Arabidopsis thaliana: one gene and its partners. The protein of the gene in region 2 purifies or fractionates together with the protein of the main gene of each other region. This does not show direct contact. Each region holds a gene or a part of one and is shown on either strand. Other genes may lie near its edges. The genes, in order: AT1G62020, AT3G16680, ELF7 and AT5G38640.

Region 1 (6,846 bases), on a different chromosome or scaffold from region 2:
AGAAAAGCTAGTTGAGGATTTATAATAAGGTAAATAAGTAGAAAAGACTTTTATAGTCTATTGATATATCCAATCCATTTACTTGATCCATCTCTGTATGCAATCTGACTGACAAATTGTAATTGTTAAACTCTTTTTTACTAGCTTTTTTTAACTCTTCAACATTAAAAGTCTAGAAACAGAAGACAACTATTTACTACATGATATTTTTGGTTATTTGTTAACAAGAAGCACTGTGGTAAAGCAGCCGAGGATGAATAATTTTAGTGTTTGTTTGATGAGTGTTAATCTTCATGGAATCCATAACCACAAAGATTTGGTTGATCCATCTATATAAAGCAAATAGGTGTAGTTAATCAATTCAAGGTCTTTTAGTGTTATCCCTTGCCAAGGAGGGCAACACTAGAGTCTAGAGTTTCGTTTTCCACTTGAGTCCTTCTGTTGGAGACAGTGTCTTCATTACACTTCCTAACCGATTCCAAAGCTTCAAATTTCATCAAACCTGCAACATAATGATGACTTCACAATGGTGTCGAGTGAGCTCCATTAAAACATGTATAGGCCTAGGATTCAGCATAATGATGATCAAGCGCTATCTTGAGTGCATTGTAATTTGATGAAAGAAGTTGACTTGACCAGTGGCAACTAGAGGCTGGAGAAGAGGATTGTCCCAAGTTATAACCTAATCAAAGCTGGTACGTCTCGAAGCATGATGATAAGCTGGTATTGGAGATTACTGTTTTTGCTCCAAGGAATGTCATATCAAGAAACTGTGCATTGTTCTTGTACCTCGCTAGCATCTTCCTTTGTTGGTTACATGGTTTGCTATTCCAACCAAGCTCTGGTACTATAAGGCAAAAGGAAAGGAGAAGGAGACCATTAACTAGTCTATATTACAACAATACATTATATGTTTCGTGGATATCTCTTTTTCTTATCTTCTCTGCTGTTTTCCTTTCTTTTGTAAAGATTGTTCTTTGAACATGAATCAATACACTTTAGAATCTATTAAGATAGCAAATAAGTTGATGCAAAGAGCAAGTGTGAGATGGATAATTGAACGGGAGTGAATGAACCTGTCACTAGATCTCTAATGGTTGTTGTTACCTCCTGGCTCCTCCTCAGCTGCCTAAACTGCGTTTAGCTCGGCCGCCTATCACTTTTTTTTTGTGTGTAGGTTTGATTGGTCTCTCTCATTCAGAATCATATGATCAATTTGTTTTCAAGTTTTGCAATGTTTTTGAAAACATTACATTTACGCTAATTGGATTTTTAAACTCGATAACCGTGATTACAAATAGAGACGTAATATTTTTTAGATTATTTCTCATGTTTTTTTGTGATTTGTTCATCTTATGCATAATTTATTTTTCACTTATGTTCAACAATAGTATACAAAAATTTAGAAATGCTCATCATATATAAAATCACTTTTGACGTTCTGAGGCTCCAATCTATTAAAAATAAACGATATAGATGATAATATATACGTCTTTTAATCAAGTGAATGAATATTTAGTTTTTTTTTTTTTAATAGGCTTCACTTTGTTTCTTACTCAGTTTAATTTTTATTTGGTTTTTATAAAATTACAACTTAGTTTTAATCAAAGGTTCTAAATTAAATTTGACCAAAAACATAAAAAAATAATTACGTAAGAGCTTTTTTGGCAGAAAATAATTTAGAGTAATTATTTATTCCTTCGACGTTAAAAAAGAATAGGAAAAAATATGTTTAAATTGCATCATTCGACCAATAAGATTAGAACTCATCCTTTTTTTTTTTAAGGATATATAGAATTCATCACTGAATACATGTTTTTATCCCAAATTAACGCAAAAGAGAGAACTCGAGATCTGGGCATAGCGACTCACTCAGATCTATACACCTTCTTCTTCTTCTTCTTCTTCCTCTTCCTCTTCGCTTCGTTCGTAAACTCATCTGATCTGTGGTAACCACCATTGTTCCTCTCCTTACGATTTCGAATTTCTGTTTTGATCTCACTACCATTGTTGCAATTTAGATCTATTTCTAATTGTTCGTGATTCGCTTTTTTTTTTCTGTGATCTGGTTTTTGTAGAGTGCCATTATCGTTGAGAGATTATGTTGACAAAGTTCGAAACCAAAAGTAACAGAGTTAAGGGACTGAGTTTTCACCCTAAACGACCATGGATTCTCGCGAGTTTGCACAGTGGCGTGATCCAGCTCTGGGATTATCGTATGGGTACTTTGATCGATAGATTCGACGAACACGAAGGACCTGTTCGTGGTGTTCATTTCCACAATTCTCAGCCTCTCTTCGTCTCCGGAGGTATATATAATTCGGAATCATTGTTAGTGAAATCGTATAAGCTCAAAAGAATGGATCTATACATGATTTGTTGCATTACAATGATGTTGATCTTGATATTGCAGGGGATGATTACAAGATTAAAGTGTGGAACTACAAAAACCACAGGTGCCTTTTCACTCTTCTAGGGCATCTTGATTATATCCGCACGGTTCAGTTCCATCATGAGTACCCATGGATTGTGAGTGCAAGTGATGATCAAACTATCCGTATATGGAACTGGCAATCACGGACTTGTGTTTCTGTATTGACTGGTCACAATCATTATGTTATGTGTGCTTCTTTCCATCCGAAAGAAGACCTCGTCGTATCAGCTTCGTTAGATCAGACTGTTCGTGTTTGGGATATTGGTGCTCTTAGGAAGAAGACTGTATCTCCTGCTGATGATATCATGAGGTTGACTCAGATGAATAGTGATCTTTTTGGTGGAGTTGATGCCATTGTCAAGTACGTTCTTGAAGGTCATGATAGAGGTGTAAACTGGGCTGCTTTTCATCCCACCCTGCCTCTTATTGTCTCGGGTGCAGATGACCGCCAAGTAAAGCTGTGGCGTATGAATGGTAATTATTTGGTGGTATACTTTTGTGCTTACAATTTTTATATGCTATCAATCGTCAATGATGTTACTGATATGAAAATATTCTGCATGCCTTAATCCTTAGATGAATCTCGAAATTGCAAAGACGAGTTGGTAACATGTTTTTAACGATATCATTGCAGAAACTAAAGCTTGGGAGGTGGATACATTGCGAGGCCATATGAATAACGTTTCATCTGTTATGTTCCATGCAAAACAGGACATAATTGTATCAAACTCTGAAGATAAGAGCATCCGTGTCTGGGATGCTACCAAGCGAACTGGACTTCAGACTTTCCGTCGTGAACATGATAGATTCTGGATTCTTGCAGTTCACCCTGAGATGAATCTACTAGCAGCAGGACATGACAGTGGCATGATTGTGTTCAAGCTTGAGAGAGAACGTCCTGCATTTGCTTTGAGTGGGGATTCTTTGTTCTATGCCAAGGATAGATTCTTGCGGTACTATGAATATTCAACTCAAAGGGATTCCCAAGTTATCCCTATACGGCGTCCGGGTACTCCAAGCTTGAATCAAAGTCCTAGGACTCTATCATACAGTCCCACTGAAAATGCAGTTTTGATCTGCTCAGATCTGGATGGTGGTTCGTATGAGTTGTACATCATACCGAAAGATAGTGTTGGCAGGAGTGACGTTGTGCAAGATGCAAAGAGAGGGACAGGTGGCTCTGCAGTATTCATTGCCCGTAACCGATTTGCTGTTCTCGAGAAAAGCACCAGCCAAGTGCTAGTCAAGAATCTAAAGAATGAGGTGGTTAAAAAGAGTCCTCTGCCTATTCCCACAGATGCTATCTTTTATGCTGGGACTGGGAATTTGCTTTGTAGATCTGAGGATAAAGTAGTTATCTTTGACCTCCAGCAAAGGCTTGTTCTTGGTGAGCTTCAGACACCATTTGTTAGGTACGTTGTTTGGTCCAGTGATATGGAGAGTGTTGCTTTGCTCAGCAAACATACTATCATTATCGCGAGCAAAAAACTTGTTCTCCAGTGCACGCTTCATGAGACGATACGTGTGAAAAGTGGAGCTTGGGACGATAATGGTGTCTTCATTTACACAACTTTGAATCATATCAAGTACTGTCTTCCTAATGGAGATAGTGGAATCATCCGAACCCTGGATGTCCCAATCTATATCACCAAGGTGTCTGGTAATACAATCTTTTGCTTGGATCGGGATGGCAAAAACAAGGCTATCACCATTAATGCAACCGAGTACATTTTCAAGCTTTCACTGCTGAGGAAGAGATATGATCATGTCATGAGCATGATAAAGAACTCTCAGCTATGTGGACAGGCTATGATTGCTTACCTGCAGCAGAAAGGATTCCCTGAAGTTGCCCTCCATTTTGTTGAAGATGAGAGGATCCGATTCAATCTGGCTCTTGAAAGTGGCAACATCAGTGTGGCTGTTGCATCCGCTACACAGATTAACGAGAAAGACCACTGGTATAGACTTGGAGTGGAGGCTCTTCGCCAAGGTAATTCTGGAATTGTTGAGTTTGCATACCAGCAGACAAAGAACTTTGAGAGGTTATCTTTTCTTTATCTCATTACTGGAAATTTGGACAAGCTTTCAAAGTTGATGAAGATTGCAGAAGTGAAGAACAACGTAATGGGACAGTTTCACAATGCTCTCTACCTAGGAGATGTTAAAGAGCGTGTTAAGATACTGGAGAATGCTGGTCATTTGCCTCTAGCTTATATCACAGCTTCGGTTCATGGTTTAAATGACATTGCTGAGCGACTGGCAACTGAGTTAGGAGACAACGTGCCCTCATTGCCTGAAGGAAAAACTCCATCGCTTCTAATGCCACCGACACCCATCATGTGTGGTGGTGATTGGCCTCTTCTTAGAGTGATGAAAGGAATATTTGAAGGAGGACTTGAGAGTGCAGACAGAGGAGGTACTGTTGATGAAGAAGATGTTGAAGGGGATTGGGGTGAGGAACTTGACATTAATGTTGATGGAATGGAGAACAGAGATATTGAAGACATTTTGGCGGCTGCAGAAGCAGGTGAAGAAGAAAACGATGAGGAAGGTGGATGGGGACTTGAAGACTTGGTGCTCCCACCAGAGCTTGACACTCCTAAAGCCTCTGCTAATGCACGTTCATCTGTTTTTGTGACACCTCCCCAAGGTATGCCCGTAAGTCAGAGCTGGAGCCAGAAATCTTCTCTTGCTGCTGAGCAAGCCGCAGCGGGAAGCTTCGACACTGCAATGCGTCTGCTCCACAGACAGCTTGGTATCAAGAACTTTACACCTTTGAAATCGATGTTTCTAGATCTGTTCAATGGCAGCCATAGCTATCTGCGTGCTTTTTCTTCATGTCCTGTGGTTCCACTTGCCATTGAGCGTGGATGGAGCGAGTCTTCCAGTCCCAACGTCCGTAGCCCACCAGCTCTTGTTTATGATTTCTCTCAGCTAGACGAGAAGCTCAAATCCGGCTACAAAGCTACAACAACTGGGAAATTCACTGAGGCTCTCCGTCTCTTCCTTTCTATCCTGCACACCATCCCTCTAGTGGTAGTCGAGACAAGAAGAGAAGTGGATGAGGTCAAGGAATTAATCGTTATCGTTAAAGAATATGTCCTTGGTCTTCAAATGGAGCTCAAGAGGAGAGAGATGAAAGATGATCCGGTGAGGCAGCAAGAGCTCGCTGCTTACTTCACTCACTGCAACCTCCAAACACCTCACTTACGGCTTGCGCTGCTTAGTGCAATGGGTGTCTGCTACAAGGCAAAGAACCTCGCCACTGCTTCTAATTTCGCCAGAAGACTGTTGGAAACAAGCCCAGTTGATAGCCAAGCCAAGATGGCTAGACAAGTTGTGCAAGCCGCTGAACGTAACATGACCGATGAAACAAAGCTTAACTACGACTTCAGGAACCCTTTTGTGGTATGTGGTTCCACATATGTCCCGATCTACAGAGGACAGAAAGACGTCTCATGTCCTTACTGCACCGCCCGGTTTGTACCAAACCAGGAAGGAAACATCTGCACGGTCTGTGATCTAGCAGTGATTGGCGCAGACGCATCTGGTTTGTTATGCTCTCCATCTCAAGTCCGGTGATCAATTTCAGATTTCATAATCAATACAGAGATGCTCTATTAACAGAATAAGAGTGTTGAACTTTTGGTGTTTTTGTGATTGTGTACTTACCAATCAGGTTTGAGGATTTTTCTCGTTGCAGGTTTTTATTACTCTTTTAAAAGTTGTTTCTTATCTTTTAGTACACATGAGAACTTTAGCTTCTTGCTTTATAATTTCTCTTTTTGATGCATAGTAGCACTGGATAACTTGTAATTTCAATTTCGGAAATTATGGTTTACTTGTGAAATTATGATTTTATAAATTCTCCAAATTTTTGAATTTTGTGAGTGTCGTTCCTAATTACAAATTTATCTACAACGAAATGTACCGATAAAGTCCAATGTATTTTTTTAATTGAACCGATAGTAAACCAAATTGTTTAGTCAACTAACTGTAGTTCTAGGGAAAGATAACACTGTAACATGTTGATTGCTAAATAGTTTTTTCTCCTTGCATGTTTTATCAATCGAGCTTTTATAAAAAGATTGATCCGACAGAACCCGACGCAACTAAACCGATAGTAACACAAAAACAGAGACACATCAGAGAACACTAATCTCTACGTCAGTGCTGAGAACTCATAATTTCCGTAGCCTCTCCGTTGTAGATATTCGCGATGACCAGCTGTGTTCACCTTTGTAGACAAAAAATAACCAACACAAGATGTGGAACAAAATTTTGAACCAGACGACTCCAAAACTATTTTGTGTGGACAACGCTTCTTGCAATGAGAGCAAATAGGTCGAGTCATATGATGATCGTTGGCCCGAACATATATCTTCTCTCCATTGAAGGAGAAGCTTATCCAA
Region 2 (3,396 bases):
GGTGTCTACGCTTTACTCCTACACGATATGTTTCTACTAGTAAGTATCATTTTGGTATCAAATGTTTTTAAAAAGAAAGCGAGATTTTTTTTGTTTTTATCATAATATTTAAACGAATTTGTATTTTGTGTGTGTAGGTGCCAAATGGAATGGGATTCTTTCTTGGGATAATGCAACTCCTAATTTATGCCTATTACAGAAATGCCGAACCAATTGTAGAAGATGAAGAAGGCCTCATACCAAATCAACCTCTCCTCGCTTAACCTCGTCTTTTACCCATCAAAATTTCTAAAATAATTTATCCTGACAAACAAAATAAATATTCGATTCTTTTTTCGGTTGAGTATTGGTTTTTGACTGTGTCCTAGCTATTAAAAAAATTCTCTTTTCTTTTTTTTTTTCTCTCCGGATATGACAGTTTTAAGTTTACATTGCAAACATTATTCAATGATTACTTTTTGGTCACACTATGTTTTCTTAATCGAGATATATGACCATTATTGGAATAATGCTAGGCCTGAATCATGCATACATCATTATAACGCCTCCCAAACAAGGTCATAAATAAATCATTGTCAACGGTTTTGGTTATATAACATAGCGATAAGTAATATAACGACCAGATGTTTCACTCAGTCGAGAGATCTTGACGACTTCGCCACGTTTTAGTCCAAAGTATCTCGCAATTGGATCAGTCACGTGAATCCTTGGAAGCTAACAACACCAACAGGTTCCAAATCTTTAATCACCCAAAACTAATAACAATACTTTATTTCTATGTGCAAAAAAACTACAAACCTGGTTCTCTTTCTCTCTAGAAACTTTTGCTTCTCTTCAGTAGTAAGAGCTTGATGCTCAGGAACAAAAACATGTTCCTTAACGTTCACTATCAATTCCTTCTCCTGAACCAACAGTACTCAATCATGGTTTAGGCTTTTGTGATGATCAAGAGAACAAAAATCAAAATGTGTTTTGTTTTTTTAGTTACCTGGAAAACTTCAATATGAAATATTGGATAGACCGCACCTAAAAAAACCAGAGCCTGGCGAGAAAATGCCTTTATATCTTGCACCACTAAAATTGCTCTGAAAACGTTTGCCGATTTTAACTGGTCTATGTATTTCTTCATCTCCGTAATTCCAACTTTGGAAGCATTGGGGAAGAAAATATAAAGCTACAAAACAACTCAAGACGAGATCAAACACACGAAATTACGCGTTTTAGCAGTTTTATACAATGCAAACCATATCTTCTTATAGGTATAAATACATTGAGAGACATCATACTTAATTATACATTACCTTATCATTGTCATCATTTTTCTTAGCTTTGAGAGTAACAAGAGACTCCTTTTCATATTGTCGCCATATTTCTCAATAAACTCTTCTAGGGTCATTGTAATTTCAGAACCGTCGATTAAGTAGCCACGATCCTTCAGCATCTGCATCAATGTCCTCTGGACTAGGAACAGTCGTTTGATCTCTTCGTCCATTAGAGCCATAGTTTCACCGATTACACTGCTTTGTTAATTACTGTCAGCTATATTGTTATTATTCAGAGGATAATGAATAAGCAATTCAGCTTTTAAAAAAAGATATAAACGTAAAAAGGTTTCTTAAATACAGCAGAAGAGAAGATCAAATTAATATCCACATCATTAGGAGATTAATTAATTATTTCCCAACACTAGTACATAGGGTAATCAATAAACAAGAAAGAGTCGATAATTTACAGAAACAACAAGGAGATTAAAATCCATAAAAGTGATGAGGATTAATACTGTTGGAATTTAGGATAGAAAACGAAAGGATCTAAGAGAGAGAGGAGAGAAGCCCGTACGAAGTGTGCAAATTAGCGAAGGAGATAGGGATGTCTCTAAAGCGGCTGCGAAAAGCATTACTTACAGTTTTTTTTTCTTAACACAGTTAATGTCGGTTTGAAGTCTAGCTAATTAATACAGCGGTAAATACGTTAGAAACTCCGAGTATCGATGGATCACGGAATTAGCAACCGTAGCTAAGAGTTCTCAGTATTCTCGAGTATCAATAGATCAAGAGAAGAGGAGAATTCAAAGACTTGAGATAGAGAAAAGCTTCTCTGTTTTCTTATTCAAAACAACCACCGTATCTCTTACAAGTTTAAGAGTACTTATACGAACTTAAGAATAAATCCCTTGTTGAAACTTGAGGCTAAAGCAACAAATAGCCGACACAGTTTAAAGAAAACCTAATAACAAAAACGAAAGCCCAAAAACAAAGACGAACTTGAAAAGGAAAAGACGTAAAAGGAAATAGGAAGATAGACGCTACATCACTAATTAAACTTGTCCTTATTTTTTCCTCCTACTTGTGTAATAAATACGAAACTCGATAAACTCGATGTAAAATAAAAATAAAGGTGAAATAAAAGCAAATATATATTGGACGCTTACTTAACAGTTTACCAAAAAATATATATATTTATATATATATATATATATATATAGCTAGGGATAGAAAGGGAAATTATTTGTTACATTTCATTACAGCACTATACATGCATGCAAGACCCTGGAAACAGAAGTTTTACAAGAGCTTTATTTCAAAGACAGAGACAGAAACTTGACCTTATTCATGCATACGCAAACAAACGTAAATGGTCATGACACAAAACATATATAGAGAAGGGAAACACACTGTAACCGAACATTAATTATGCTTATAGTTTGGTTTTAGTTAGATTGTGGGGATAAAACCGGTTGGGAGGATAGCGACTATGTTGAGGAGGCCGGAGACGATACTGCCGACGAGATTTAACTGGGAGATCAGTTGTCCGGTGGAAGGGAGGGTGGCGTCGCAGCTGGAGCGAGGGGTTGGGACGACGATACGACAATCGTTGAGGAGTGTGGGAAGGGATATCTGAATTCCGTTTGTAGAAAACGTGAATAATCCGGCAATGTTCGTAATTGTTTCTGCTACGACTCTGTTTAGGTTTCCACACTGGAGCTGGACGACCGCATCTGTTATTTGCACCATTAAATTAGTATGTCAACAAAGAGATCATAAATATTATCTTTTTGTGAATATTCGTCATTAAGATAAATATGATTTCGTGAATCTTTTTATTAGTTCGTATATATAGTATAGGTTAAGAATGGACAACTAACTAGCGAAAGCCGGGGCCGGAGTGCCATTGAGAGGGGCGCCATTGATGGTGCAAAAGAGAACCCCATTGATAATGGGGACATTGATACCACCAAGACCACTCTGAGCGTTAGCCATTGGAGACACCACAATGAGACACAACAAGACCAATGAGAAGGTTATGTGTTTCTTGATAACTGCCATCTTTTTTGGATTACTTGTATATGAAACTATAGAGTAGATAGCAAATATTTGTTTGTGTTGCTTTGGGTTT
Region 3 (5,805 bases), on a different chromosome or scaffold from region 2:
ACGCGCCCAATTTTTTAATTTTACCAAAAACAGCCAAAAACGGTCCACAGATTTTGAGGAGGTGGCGTCGACGCGCTAATTGTGCGAGTGGGTAAGAATTTGAATTTCGCAGTTATGTTTTGGGCTGATTTTTATACTGCCCACTGGGCTACACAAGAGGAAACCCAGTTTCATATAATAATAGGCCCACCTAATAGAAAAAGCCCTTCGTAAAAGAAAACATAGTGGACCATAATAATTTCATTTGTACAAGAAATTTTGAAAATGTCATATTTTCGGGAACCTGTAAAATAACCACAATTGCAACACTGGGATCTACTACAGTACAAGATTTGCTCTAATCCATCCTAATTAATTACTGGTAGTAGAACCTGTATAATATTATTACAGATTCTAATCAGCTCTGGTAGAAAGACAGTGTAAGTAAGTATCTAAGAAGGCTTCTCTGTACAAGGAATTCTCTCAGGGATGTGTTCTCATGAACATAGCCACTGAAGATGAACGGAGCTGCCACATTAGATAGGATCAAAGTCGTAAATGGCCAATTCATTAATTATGGACGTGTACATGTAAAATCGTTTTTCAACTTCGCCAGCTATCCAAATCAAAATTTCTTTACTTGCCAAACTACAAAGCTGTGGTGGAGGCCATATTACGCTTTTAAATTAGCCTACAATAGCCTTGCAGGAAAACCATTGCAAAACCGATTCAATAGTTTGAGGTACACGAAACGTTCATTCAGAATAATCATCCTCATTACCATCACTATATTGATTGGCATCTTGTTCCGGCTCGTGTTTCCAAGATCTACCAAGGCCGCCTTCGTCCTCTAATCTTCTCATCTTGGAGCTCGAAGCACCAACCCTAGAAGAGTAAACCTACATCCAAAGCCCCAAAGTCCAAAGGAATTGGTAAGAGAACTAGAACTTTCCACGTGTTACTCTTTTAAAGGCTAAATGTATGGATTTACTATACCCCTGAATCTTTATGTTCTATCACTGATACAGTTGATCTCCGCCTTACAGTTACCCTTGAAGGTACTGGAAAGTGTTCAATCTCATCAGAAGATCTTCCTTCCCTGGCCCTTTTCTTCCTCAAGTTCAACCTCATGGGTAGGGGCTGCCAAATTCTCAACGGTCATCCCAAAGTATTATAGACAGAAGAAAAAAAAGATACACAACTGGAATATGTAACAAAAACCGATGCAATACCAGATAGCTAGCGGTCCCATTGTCAAATGATACCAGGTATGTGCCAGGATCGTTTGCATTGGGTTGTACCTGTTATAACATCAGGTGACATATTTATTTCAATCTGCAACTCAAACAATCAAAATTTCACTTAAACCACATTGGCTATAGTACATACATCCCAGAGGTATTCGCGAACCCAAGTGTAAGAGATTTCTTCGTTTTCATCATGGATATCCTTAGACAACTGGCACAGCAACATAAATTGATAACACATCAATCAAACTGAACTTTTCTTGACTTGTCAAAATTTGTGTAAAAGAGAGATCAGTTTATGGAGAGGCATGTCTACCTCATCCAAGGAAGGAACCATGTACGCCAGAAATTTTTCTGGATTGGCAGTGTCTGATCCAGCCACCACATAGCTTTTCAAAATGGCCTGTGGAGTATGAGGTCAGAGCTCGTCATCAATATGAAAATAAGGCAATCAACCATAGTTAAGATTCAGCCCCATATATCATATATCCTATCCTCATTCAAGTACACTTATGTAAGCAACAAAAACGATATAGTTGATACAGTCATCTTTTCTCTCAGGAACAAAGTATCCCTATGATAGAGACCAGAGATAATTGGACCATACTCATGGATATCGGTAACTCATAACTCACCCGTGACTCATGTGCATCACGAATTGAAGGGTCCAACTTGCCAAAGAATTCAGAATCAGCTATAGGAGCACCATCAAAATTCGCTACCACAAACTGCTCATCGTACCTGTGTCAAAAAAGGAAGGGGAGAGTCAAATGTAATAGCATAGTATGCTACAGGTTCAGTGAAAATTATTAGTGGATGTTTCATCCAAAAGGCAATACACTAAAACCCTAGCAAAGAAACATTTGAACAAGAGTTGGAGCAGAGAAAAGGGAAAAATTAAAGACCCAACATCTCTCTTAAGTGTTGTATAGTTAGACCTTAACAAGGCTGCCTATTTTCCCACCCGATTGATTACACTATCCTATAGGAAAACTATTCGTGCATGTTTCCGACCACAGGAGATCCTTCAGAGAGAGCCAACATAAAGATAATCTGTAAAGTGTCAGCTTTCAAGCTGTGTCTACATGTAGGACTATTATGAGAAAATTTTGCCTGATTCGGTATTTCAGATTTAAGATTGTCTGCAAGGGGAAATAAAGAGCATCCAACCTATCAAAATATGGCAACAGTGGTAGAACTTCAACCGGCTGCAAGTTTTTATTGGTGGCATGAACTGGTCGAGACTTGCATGCCTCAAAGGATGCTTCAATATCCTTGATTTGTCTCTCTCTAGAGACCAAAGAAAAATAAACCATTAGACCTTTTTTTTTCTCACTTTCCTTAGAAATACACATATTTGAGAAACAACACACCTATTGTTAAGATTGTGCAAGATGTTGATGCCTCCTTTCATCTCTCGCAGTTCCTTTGCTTGCTTCTCCGTTAGCGACTACACAAGGTAAACATAGGAAATTGGAAACTGTCTCTAGAAGCTATACATGGCAAAACAAATTTCCAACAAGCGAGATGGATAGATACCTGTCTTGCCGATTCGTTATTAATAGAAGAAATGTATTGTGTTTTGACGAGCCAAGACATGCCTTTATCAGTAGGTCTTTCTTTCCTCCGGATGCCATCTTTCTTAATAGGTGTAACAGCGTCATCATCACGCAAGAGTTCTTCATCTTCAGGGGCAAGAGGTGCCTTGACTTTGGGAGGGCTGAAAAGAGCTACAACAGTAAGTATCCCCAGTAGATGAGGTCGCTGGCATTAAAGACACTAAGACTTTATTGAGAGCACATACTTGTACACACTTAGGTCAAGCAGATCCAAGGGTATTCCAAGATCAGGCTCGACAAAGATTTTTGGTTTCCATAATTTCTCCAGGGATGTGATGGTATACTTTGTAAATCTAGTGGGATCAAAATAGCTGGCAAGTAAGGACAGTAGAATAACACAGAAATAAAATTTGGCAATAATAGAGAAACATACTGATCTTTATCCCGTTTAATGGTCATAAGCTTAAGCTGTGCACTAGGGTCAGGGAGCTCATTCCGGAACCTTGAAGAAGAAGATGAATATCAGAGTCTAACAATAATATGTAAAAAAGATTTAGGTAGTCGTTTGAAGAATACTGACTTGAGCTTGCAGATGAAGGTGGTTGGTTTCTTTAACCTATTCTCGACCCTGTCGGTGGTGAGTAGGGGCGTCGGCTTCTTCTCCTCGGTGTGTCCCTTGGGCATCTGAGACTTGTGAGAATTTTTCATCTGCTGTCTATGTTTTTCGTCTTGCCTTTGTTTCTCTAACTCCCTCTTCTTCCTAAGCCTCCTCTCTTCTTCGGTCTCGATTTTCTTAGAATGAGGAAGATGAGACCTGTGGTGGTGCTTCGATGGATCCGGTTTAGCACGCTCCCGCCTTCCAACCTGCTTGGAGGCCCCTTTCTCGTGGTCATTGGGACCCTGGTGTCGAGGAGGATCGGGAACGAGCGGAGGAGGAGCTGAGGGAGGTGGCGGAGGAGGAGGAGCTTGGAGCTGGTTGAATTGAGGATAGTGGGGCCCCTGCTGATAGTAAGCATGCGGAGGAGGAGGCGGCGGCGGAGGATATGAGTACGGTTGATGCGACGGTGGTGGGGGAGGAACAGGAGGGGGTAACGACGGCGGGGGAGGCGGAGGGGCCAAAGAATTTTGAGATGGTGGCTGAGGAAGAGGAGGATACGGCGGCCGGTACGACGCCATTCTCGGTGTACTTTGTGATCTGAATCACCTAAACCAACTAAAACGAGTCTTCTTGATATATATTAATTATATAGCTCCGGTCAGACTGATTTTTCCTTTTTACTTTAATTTGGGCCTCACTAGCGGCCCAATAACCGCTACTATCATATGGGTTCTGATAATTACGGCTTCAATACAAACAAAAACAATCTTAAGCTCACCGTTTTATGAATCCCAAATATGAACGAAACATGCTTTGTACCACCAAGCTCATCGACGTGTGACTGTGTGAGGAACACAAAATATTTATTTTCTACATTGATAATTACTCAAACATTATGTACAGTATAGCGAACCGAGGTGTGTGGTTAAACACTCAACACGCTGGACCAACTTATGAAAACCTCTTACCAGGACTTCACAAGCCGAAGATGTTATGGTCGTTGGCACTGAAAATAGCACCGCCAAACTGCCTGGTGTTCAAGTCGCCTCCATCAAGGGCGGTCCCAAAACGGTCAAGCCACTGGGCAGGACTGGGATTCTCTGCCTCTTCCACCCACTCCGACATCATGTCAATGTCCTCCAGGGCAATTGGGTCTGTCTCCAAGGTTATCATCCTCCCTAACTTTAGATTCTGATTCACGTACGCCAACTTGTTCAATATTTCTCTGTCAATCTTGTTTCGCCTTTCCCAGTGCATCTGCTGGAATGTGCTCCATTGGCGTTCCAAGTTGTAACCGCTGCAAACTTGGCTTAGTATTCTGATGGCCACCCGCTGCAAAACAGGTGCTGAGTCACCAAACTGCTCCCACCAGAGACCTGCATTACTAAGCAAACCATTATTAGACATCAACTTCTAGTCTTCTAGTGCTTCGTTACCAATTCTAAAGATCCCAGACCATACCCCTAATAGCCTGGTGAGGGGAAGATATCTACTAGTTTTGCAATTCGGTTTACTACGTGCCAGGCTATATCAACCTGGACTTATTTAGTTGTGTAATAAGACCATAGCTTTAATTGCGGTCATAGATAAGTGGATTATTTTTCTCCCGACTCAGACTACCTATACATCTCTGTTCACTAGTCATGACTTAAAGAAAATATAAATGTATTTATTGTCCATACCTGGTGAAACTGAATCCCTCGCCTCCATGGCCAGGTTACAGCCGAACATTCCCTTTGCCCTAGTGAAAGTGAATATCTGATTTGTAATATCACGCCGTAGATCGCTAGTAGGAAGAAGTTTCTCCAACACTTTGAAAAAATCTTCTTTCAAGGAAGTGAGGAACTTTATCTCTGGGTTATACTGAATACTGGGGTTCAAGAATGCTGCTGCTGCATGAAGAGGTGAATGCAAATGCTCACACCAGTTAGTATCAACTATGTCAGAAAAGACCTTATGCTTATTCTCATCCATGATGTAGTATGTCCGTATTGACTCCTTGGCCTTGGACATTAACTCGTATATAGAACCTACAGCGGGCTTTCCAGTAGAAACTTCCCTCAACACTTTCAGGATAGGCTCGGAAATAGCCACACTTTCTTCCACAGCTCTCCAGAAATCATTATCCTCTAGGATATTCACGCATGAAATGCTCTGTGGTTTGTTAGTATTTGTGGTATACTCTGGGCAATTGAACATGTGTTTTAGCCTTGCCTTTTGTTTCATCATTGACTGTAATGATAGAAAATTGGAGACAGACCTTGTGACACCGCTTCGGATAATATCTTGCCCGCCTGTTAACTTTCTCAATAAATCTAGCACGGGGCTATTGTTGTAGACAAACTTAGATATGACCTGCGCTTGCGATATACATTGATTGACCCAATCAACCTTGGAGAATTCTTCTAAGATGATGTTCAAA
Region 4 (5,146 bases), on a different chromosome or scaffold from region 2:
TAAATATCAAGAACTCACTCAAATCTATTGTTACAAACAGTGGGCTGCAGGGTTTGTGACTTATTGGTACCCGGGTGGTTCAAGAAACAGCAGAGCCAGTTTGATGCCATGGCATGTGTTCTTAGGGATTTCCATATATGCATTGGCGTTGGTGACTGCAACCACAGGGATACTTGAGAAGGTGACGTTCCTGCAAGTGAATCAAGTGATAACTCGGTATTCCACAGAGGCAATGTTAGTCAACACAATGGGCGTTCTAATCCTTATTCTTGGCGGTTTCGTGATACTCGGTGTGGTTACTCCGGTCAGTGGCAAGGATCAAGTTCTCACACAATAGAGTAAACCCTCGAAAAGATCTCTTTCAACATTTCGACCTATCGAAACATTGTTTATTTAAGAGACAATTTGTGATGTAATTGAGTCTTTTTGAACTGATTTAACGAGCAGTGCATATATGACTGTAATACAAGTAAAGCATGAGAACACGTGTAACCAATGTTGAAGACTGAACCCAACAAAAATTGGCATAGAATCTGAGAAAGATTTGTATCAACCTCCATGAGAAGGGAGAGTAAGAGAAGCCTCACTCATACATCACAGACAAAGAAAAACATCACCGATATCGATAAAATCTTCCCGGAGAGGCGGATGATGAATCGCACTCTTCACAGAGTCAAAAGTTTCTAAAAACAAGTCAAGGCCAAAAAAAATGAACCCGGTACTCAGGAAAAGAAGCGGATGAGGGGAGGCAGTGCCGGTAGTTATTCTATCTGGGTTGTGATGAGAAGAGCCTGAGCTAGAGGAGGGGGTTGGAGAAGAAGAGCTTTCGCAAAAATGAGCTTTGCTTAGACAAGCAAGTGTTCTTTCTGATATTCTCTCACGATGACAGGCACACTTGTGGGAGGTACCTGAAAACGAAAACATTGCGTTCAATGGTTTGAGATTCTGAATAAGTGGAGAAACTGTATTTTATAGGTCTGAGACTTCAGGAACCTAATGCTATGTTTTTAAGAGACGATGGTTAATCTTACCATGCCATAATCTGTGATTATCATGGAAATGTAATCTGAAGGTGTAGCATCATACCTGTCATTAGAAAAATCACAAACGAGTTTAGTGGCAGAGAGGATTAGTATTAACAGAACATAGTTTCACTTCTCCGATAAACACAAGCTTACATCAAGTTCAAAAACTGCAGGTTTGCGTTGTTGGTCAAGCCATCTAAATAGTTTATGTCTTCTCTTCCATGAACTTCTGAAATAGCATTTGGATCACCTAAAGGTAAAGAAGCAAGAAACCCAATGTAAGGTAAAACAAAATCAAAGGCGGTATAAGATGATACTGATATCGAGAGAAGATATTGCATACCAAGCTCATTGGAACATATTGAATCCAATTGCACCCTCTCATGGAACTTGTAGGCTTCGCAACATACAAGCACAGGAACACGGAATGCATTTGCAACCATTGCAACACAAGCAGTCCCAACCCTTGAATAAACTGTTCCGTTAGACAAAACTGACGAGGCGCCCAAAAACACTTTGGTGACTTCATGCATGATATATGAAATGGCATTTATATGAGTGTATGTACAGTTAATGCCTCGTTTGATCAATCTACGAAGCAGTAGCTGCCCTTCAAGCTTTGGACGAGAATCCACCACCAAGACTCGAAACTTTTTCCTGAGTTCATGTGCATGTAATATTACCATCTCAACAGCAGTGGGAGATCCGTAGGTCAGAAGGACATCACCGTCTCTTATTTTAGTAACAGCATGTTTGACTATCACCGTATCTGCCACTATGATCTTCTCGTTAATGAACCGTTCAATATCTGACTGAAGAGTAGCTTTTGCTTCAGATTCAGAAAGTGTTATAGGCAGCTTTGCAATCCTGTTTTTCACAAATCGTATTGCGTTTCCCATGCTAATCGAAAGCGGACGGCATTCTATGAGGAAGGAGACGTAGCTACTTATTTTCGCAGTCATGTCCCTGTTAAGAGACTTCTCAGGCGGTGTTGAATAATCTTTGACAACCTCTTGGAATGCTTGGAGCATCGCAATACACCTGGCATTGCCACCAGAGATATCCCCAGAAAGATATTGAAGACCAACCTGATACCACAACAACTGATACTCATTCAGTATACAAGTAACATTCATCTTAATGAAGCAATATAAACCACTCATTAGAACAAACGGTTCCTTGTTTTAACAAAGAGATTATTAATAGTTTATTAGAAGCACCAACCAGATAAATTCAAGAGAAAACAAATACCTTGTACACAGCAGGATGCATAGGGTCAAGTTGGAAGAACTTAGTCTCGAGATCAGGAAGTTGAGTGCCATGCTCATACTGAGGCAAATGCCTAAATAGCTCAACCCTGTTTTTAGCCTCGGTCTGTTTTACAACAGCACGTCTTTTAGCCTTCACGACTCTACTCTCATCATCATACTGCATGCGGGGATGAGGAGCATCTTTCTTTCTATCTTTTTCAGATGGACCTCCCTTCTTCTCAGCTGCTCCAGTAGCAACAGCAACATCATTCTTCTGAGATGTAGCCTTCGCTGGTTTAGCAGCTTTAACACTTGTTGAAGCCACCGAGGCTGAGGACACTGGTGCCACCTTCCCACCATCAGCTGATATAGCACAGTATTACACAGACTGATTAAGATATTGCAAAATACACAACGATAACACAACAGAGCAACCAGCATATCAAATCTCTGTACTAAGCTGACGAATCATTCATTGCGATAAAACCACACATTGGTTTAAATCAAAAATGCACCTTTTGCAGCAGCTTTAGCAGCTCTTTGAGCTTCTTGAATAGCTCGTCTCTCAGCTTTAGTGGTTTTCTCTTTCAATGGCTTCTTCTGGTCACTCTGCACCTCCATTCCACTAGCCTTCTCTGCAATTATATAACATTGTGAATACATTAGCCTCATATATCCTAAAGAACAAATTTCAAAATCAATCAAATTATGATTCCACAAGATCAAAAGTGAGAGTACCAGAAAGTCCAGGAGGCATGGTAACGACGGAGACAGTGGTTAAACCACTAGCAGGAACACTACTAGATTTAGCAGCAGCCATAGAATCCATCCCAATACCAGGCAGCGAAGAAGCAACAGGAACAGATGATTTTACGAAACTACCCCTGGAATGGCGTCCAGGAGACGCCGTCGTTGATCCATCAGGGAAATCACGGCGACTTGAGTAAGAAAACGAAGAAGGAGACACGGCTGACGCAGCAGCACCAGCGACAGCGACTCGAAGAGGGAAAGTATCAGAGGAATTGAGACGAGGAGGAGGAATCATGACGGGGGAGAGTGAGTTACCGGAAGGAGAAATGGTGGAAGAAGAAGAAGAAGCAGAGGTAGCAGCGATCGGGTCGGGTTGTTGTTGTTGAGTTGATGAATCGGGTTGAGATGATGTGAAGAAACCGACTTGTCGGACCTTTGGATCTACTACGGCGCGAGGGTTCCGACGAGACTCCATCGCGTCGGAGGAGAAGAAGCTCTGGATTTTTTCTCGGTGAAGACGGAATTATTAATTTTGGGGATCGAATTTAATTTTTGTTTTCCCAGACGAATAAAACGTAGAATAGGGTTTTTATTTTTATTTATTTACTTTTTCAGATTTATCCGATGTTAACAGTCCAGTCCGAGTCACTAAAACAATCTTACTTTGTTCTTTTGTTTTTGTTTTGTTTAGAGTATTAATCCATATGCAATTTATTTATTCTAATAGAATCTAGTATCCAAGGTTTTGGTGTCAGTAACATAATAATGAAATAGGAGCATAATCTTATTTAAATAACTAAGCAAGTCCAACAAATTGTGAACTGAGAGAGATAAGAACTGAAACACAGTTCATATGTTTTATCATGTTCAGAGCAAAGGAGACACAGTATAGAGAAGAGATCAAACAACAAGTAGATTCTTTTAGGGCTGGTGGAAATTCATAACATGATCTTACTCAGATTAAAAAGCATATGAGACCTGACGAAGGAAATACTTTGATGGTGGTGACTACATGAAACTTGGGGAAGCTGGGCCTTTGGAGAGACCAAGCCGAACTTCCATCCCGTGGTGAAAGTCTACTGGTTTCAGCGTCTCGGATTCGCGAGGATCTGTAGATTATACACCATTCATCGTCAGAACAATATAAATTGTGAAACTAAGAGAATTAAAAAGTTTAAACATTTTTCTCTTATATACTGAACCAAAAGTTCAACTTTGGTTACACAATGTAAGTAAGTAGTATGTGACAGTCAATTTTTGAGCAATGCTCGATGATTTGTGACAGTCTAACTGGAACAAAGGTTTGTCACTGTCTATTGGTGTTTTGGAGTGGAACAATCTACAAAGTAGAGACTAGTAAGCGAAACGAAATAAACAAGTTGAGACACTTTTCTATTATATGCTAAACAAAGAGTTAAACTCTATGCAAGGATGAGGATGATTTGGTTACACAATGCAAGCAGTATGTGACGGTCATGTTTTGAGAAATGCTCAAAGATTGTAGGAATAGAAAACTCTAATGCACAACCAAATGGGAAAACTGGTGTAAAACAATTACCATTCAAGTAATCCTCAAAACCAAAATTATCTAGAGCTCCTGTGTAGACTTCAAGGCCAAGCATTGATGAAGGAATTGGTCCAGGAGGTCTCTGAAACCTGAATACTCCACATAAAAAGATATACAATAAATATTCAATTCACCAATAAATATTCAATGAAGAAGAGGCTGCTCTATGCGTTTATGGTTCTGAATTCAATCTACATATTGCTACTAATTTAAGAGTATCCACTACGCGTTTATGGTTCTGCAAATCTAATTCTAAGTAGCACTACACGATTATGATTCCGAATTTTCGATATAATCATTATGATGATTCATATACACATTTGTACTAACAATATTTCAAAATTCAGAACAGCAATTGACCTAATCAAGATAGATTACTAGCATTAGGAAACCATATTTCAATCTTAACAGTATTCTATAAAGCCTAAGGAAGATTCTCATACATTCTCATACCTAATAATCAGTGTAATTCAGAATTTCATATGCTACAGATTTAAAGATCCATACCGAGAAAGGATTTGTCTATCAAGATCCATCTTCAAAGGAAGAGCAGC

The links.
Region 1: the proteins of AT3G16680 (region 2) and AT1G62020 fractionate together in Arabidopsis thaliana (co-fractionation; one large-scale study listed by BioGRID). This does not show direct contact.
Region 3: the proteins of AT3G16680 (region 2) and ELF7 fractionate together in Arabidopsis thaliana (co-fractionation; one large-scale study listed by BioGRID). This does not show direct contact.
Region 4: the proteins of AT3G16680 (region 2) and AT5G38640 fractionate together in Arabidopsis thaliana (co-fractionation; one large-scale study listed by BioGRID). This does not show direct contact.

Annotation. Positions count from the first base shown.
Region 1 is NC_003070.9:22,917,713-22,924,558, forward strand, and holds AT1G62020 (Coatomer, alpha subunit), read left to right. Parts: upstream 1-1,774; 5' UTR 1,775-1,949; intron 1,950-2,078; 5' UTR 2,079-2,101; coding exon 2,102-2,309; intron 2,310-2,413; coding exon 2,414-2,908; intron 2,909-3,068; coding exon 3,069-6,016; 3' UTR 6,017-6,312; downstream 6,313-6,846. Other genes in the region: AT1G62030 (Cysteine/Histidine-rich C1 domain family protein), read right to left, coding at 6,597-6,846. UniProt on the Arabidopsis thaliana protein: The coatomer is a cytosolic protein complex that binds to dilysine motifs and reversibly associates with Golgi non-clathrin-coated vesicles, which further mediate biosynthetic protein transport from the ER, via the Golgi up to the trans Golgi network.
Region 2 is NC_003074.8:5,681,430-5,684,825, reverse strand, and holds AT3G16680 (DNA binding / DNA-directed RNA polymerase), read right to left. Parts: upstream 1,491-3,396; 5' UTR 1,302-1,490; intron 1,175-1,301; 5' UTR 1,130-1,174; coding exon 989-1,129; intron 903-988; coding exon 799-902; intron 715-798; coding exon 696-714; 3' UTR 548-695; downstream 1-547. Other genes in the region: SWEET16 (Nodulin MtN3 family protein), read left to right, coding at 1-39, 138-263; AT3G16670 (Pollen Ole e 1 allergen and extensin family protein), read right to left, coding at 2,715-2,998, 3,146-3,326.
Region 3 is NC_003070.9:30,000,009-30,005,813, forward strand, and holds ELF7 (hydroxyproline-rich glycoprotein family protein), read right to left. Parts: upstream 4,076-5,805; 5' UTR 3,962-4,075; coding exon 3,366-3,961; intron 3,288-3,365; coding exon 3,219-3,287; intron 3,139-3,218; coding exon 3,031-3,138; intron 2,947-3,030; coding exon 2,766-2,946; intron 2,677-2,765; coding exon 2,600-2,676; intron 2,517-2,599; coding exon 2,397-2,516; intron 1,968-2,396; coding exon 1,862-1,967; intron 1,630-1,861; coding exon 1,543-1,629; intron 1,438-1,542; coding exon 1,369-1,437; intron 1,281-1,368; coding exon 1,212-1,280; intron 1,120-1,211; coding exon 976-1,119; intron 879-975; coding exon 735-878; 3' UTR 530-734; downstream 1-529. Other genes in the region: AT1G79740 (hAT transposon superfamily), read right to left, coding at 4,359-4,759, 5,066-5,805. UniProt on the Arabidopsis thaliana protein: Component of the PAF1 complex (PAF1C) which is involved in histone modifications such as methylation on histone H3 'Lys-4' (H3K4me3). Involved in regulation of flowering time.
Region 4 is NC_003076.8:15,467,175-15,472,320, forward strand, and holds AT5G38640 (NagB/RpiA/CoA transferase-like superfamily protein), read right to left. Parts: upstream 3,551-5,146; 5' UTR 3,501-3,550; coding exon 3,014-3,500; intron 2,911-3,013; coding exon 2,791-2,910; intron 2,639-2,790; coding exon 2,277-2,638; intron 2,114-2,276; coding exon 1,369-2,113; intron 1,276-1,368; coding exon 1,179-1,275; intron 1,087-1,178; coding exon 1,032-1,086; intron 1,012-1,031; exon of another isoform or gene 909-1,011; coding exon 846-908; 3' UTR 505-845; downstream 1-504. Other genes in the region: CYB-1 (cytochrome B561-1), read left to right, coding at 41-337; APE1 (acclimation of photosynthesis to environment), read right to left, coding at 4,034-4,134, 4,584-4,681, 5,100-5,146; AT5G38650 (Proteasome maturation factor UMP1), read right to left, coding at 4,034-4,134, 4,584-4,681, 5,100-5,146.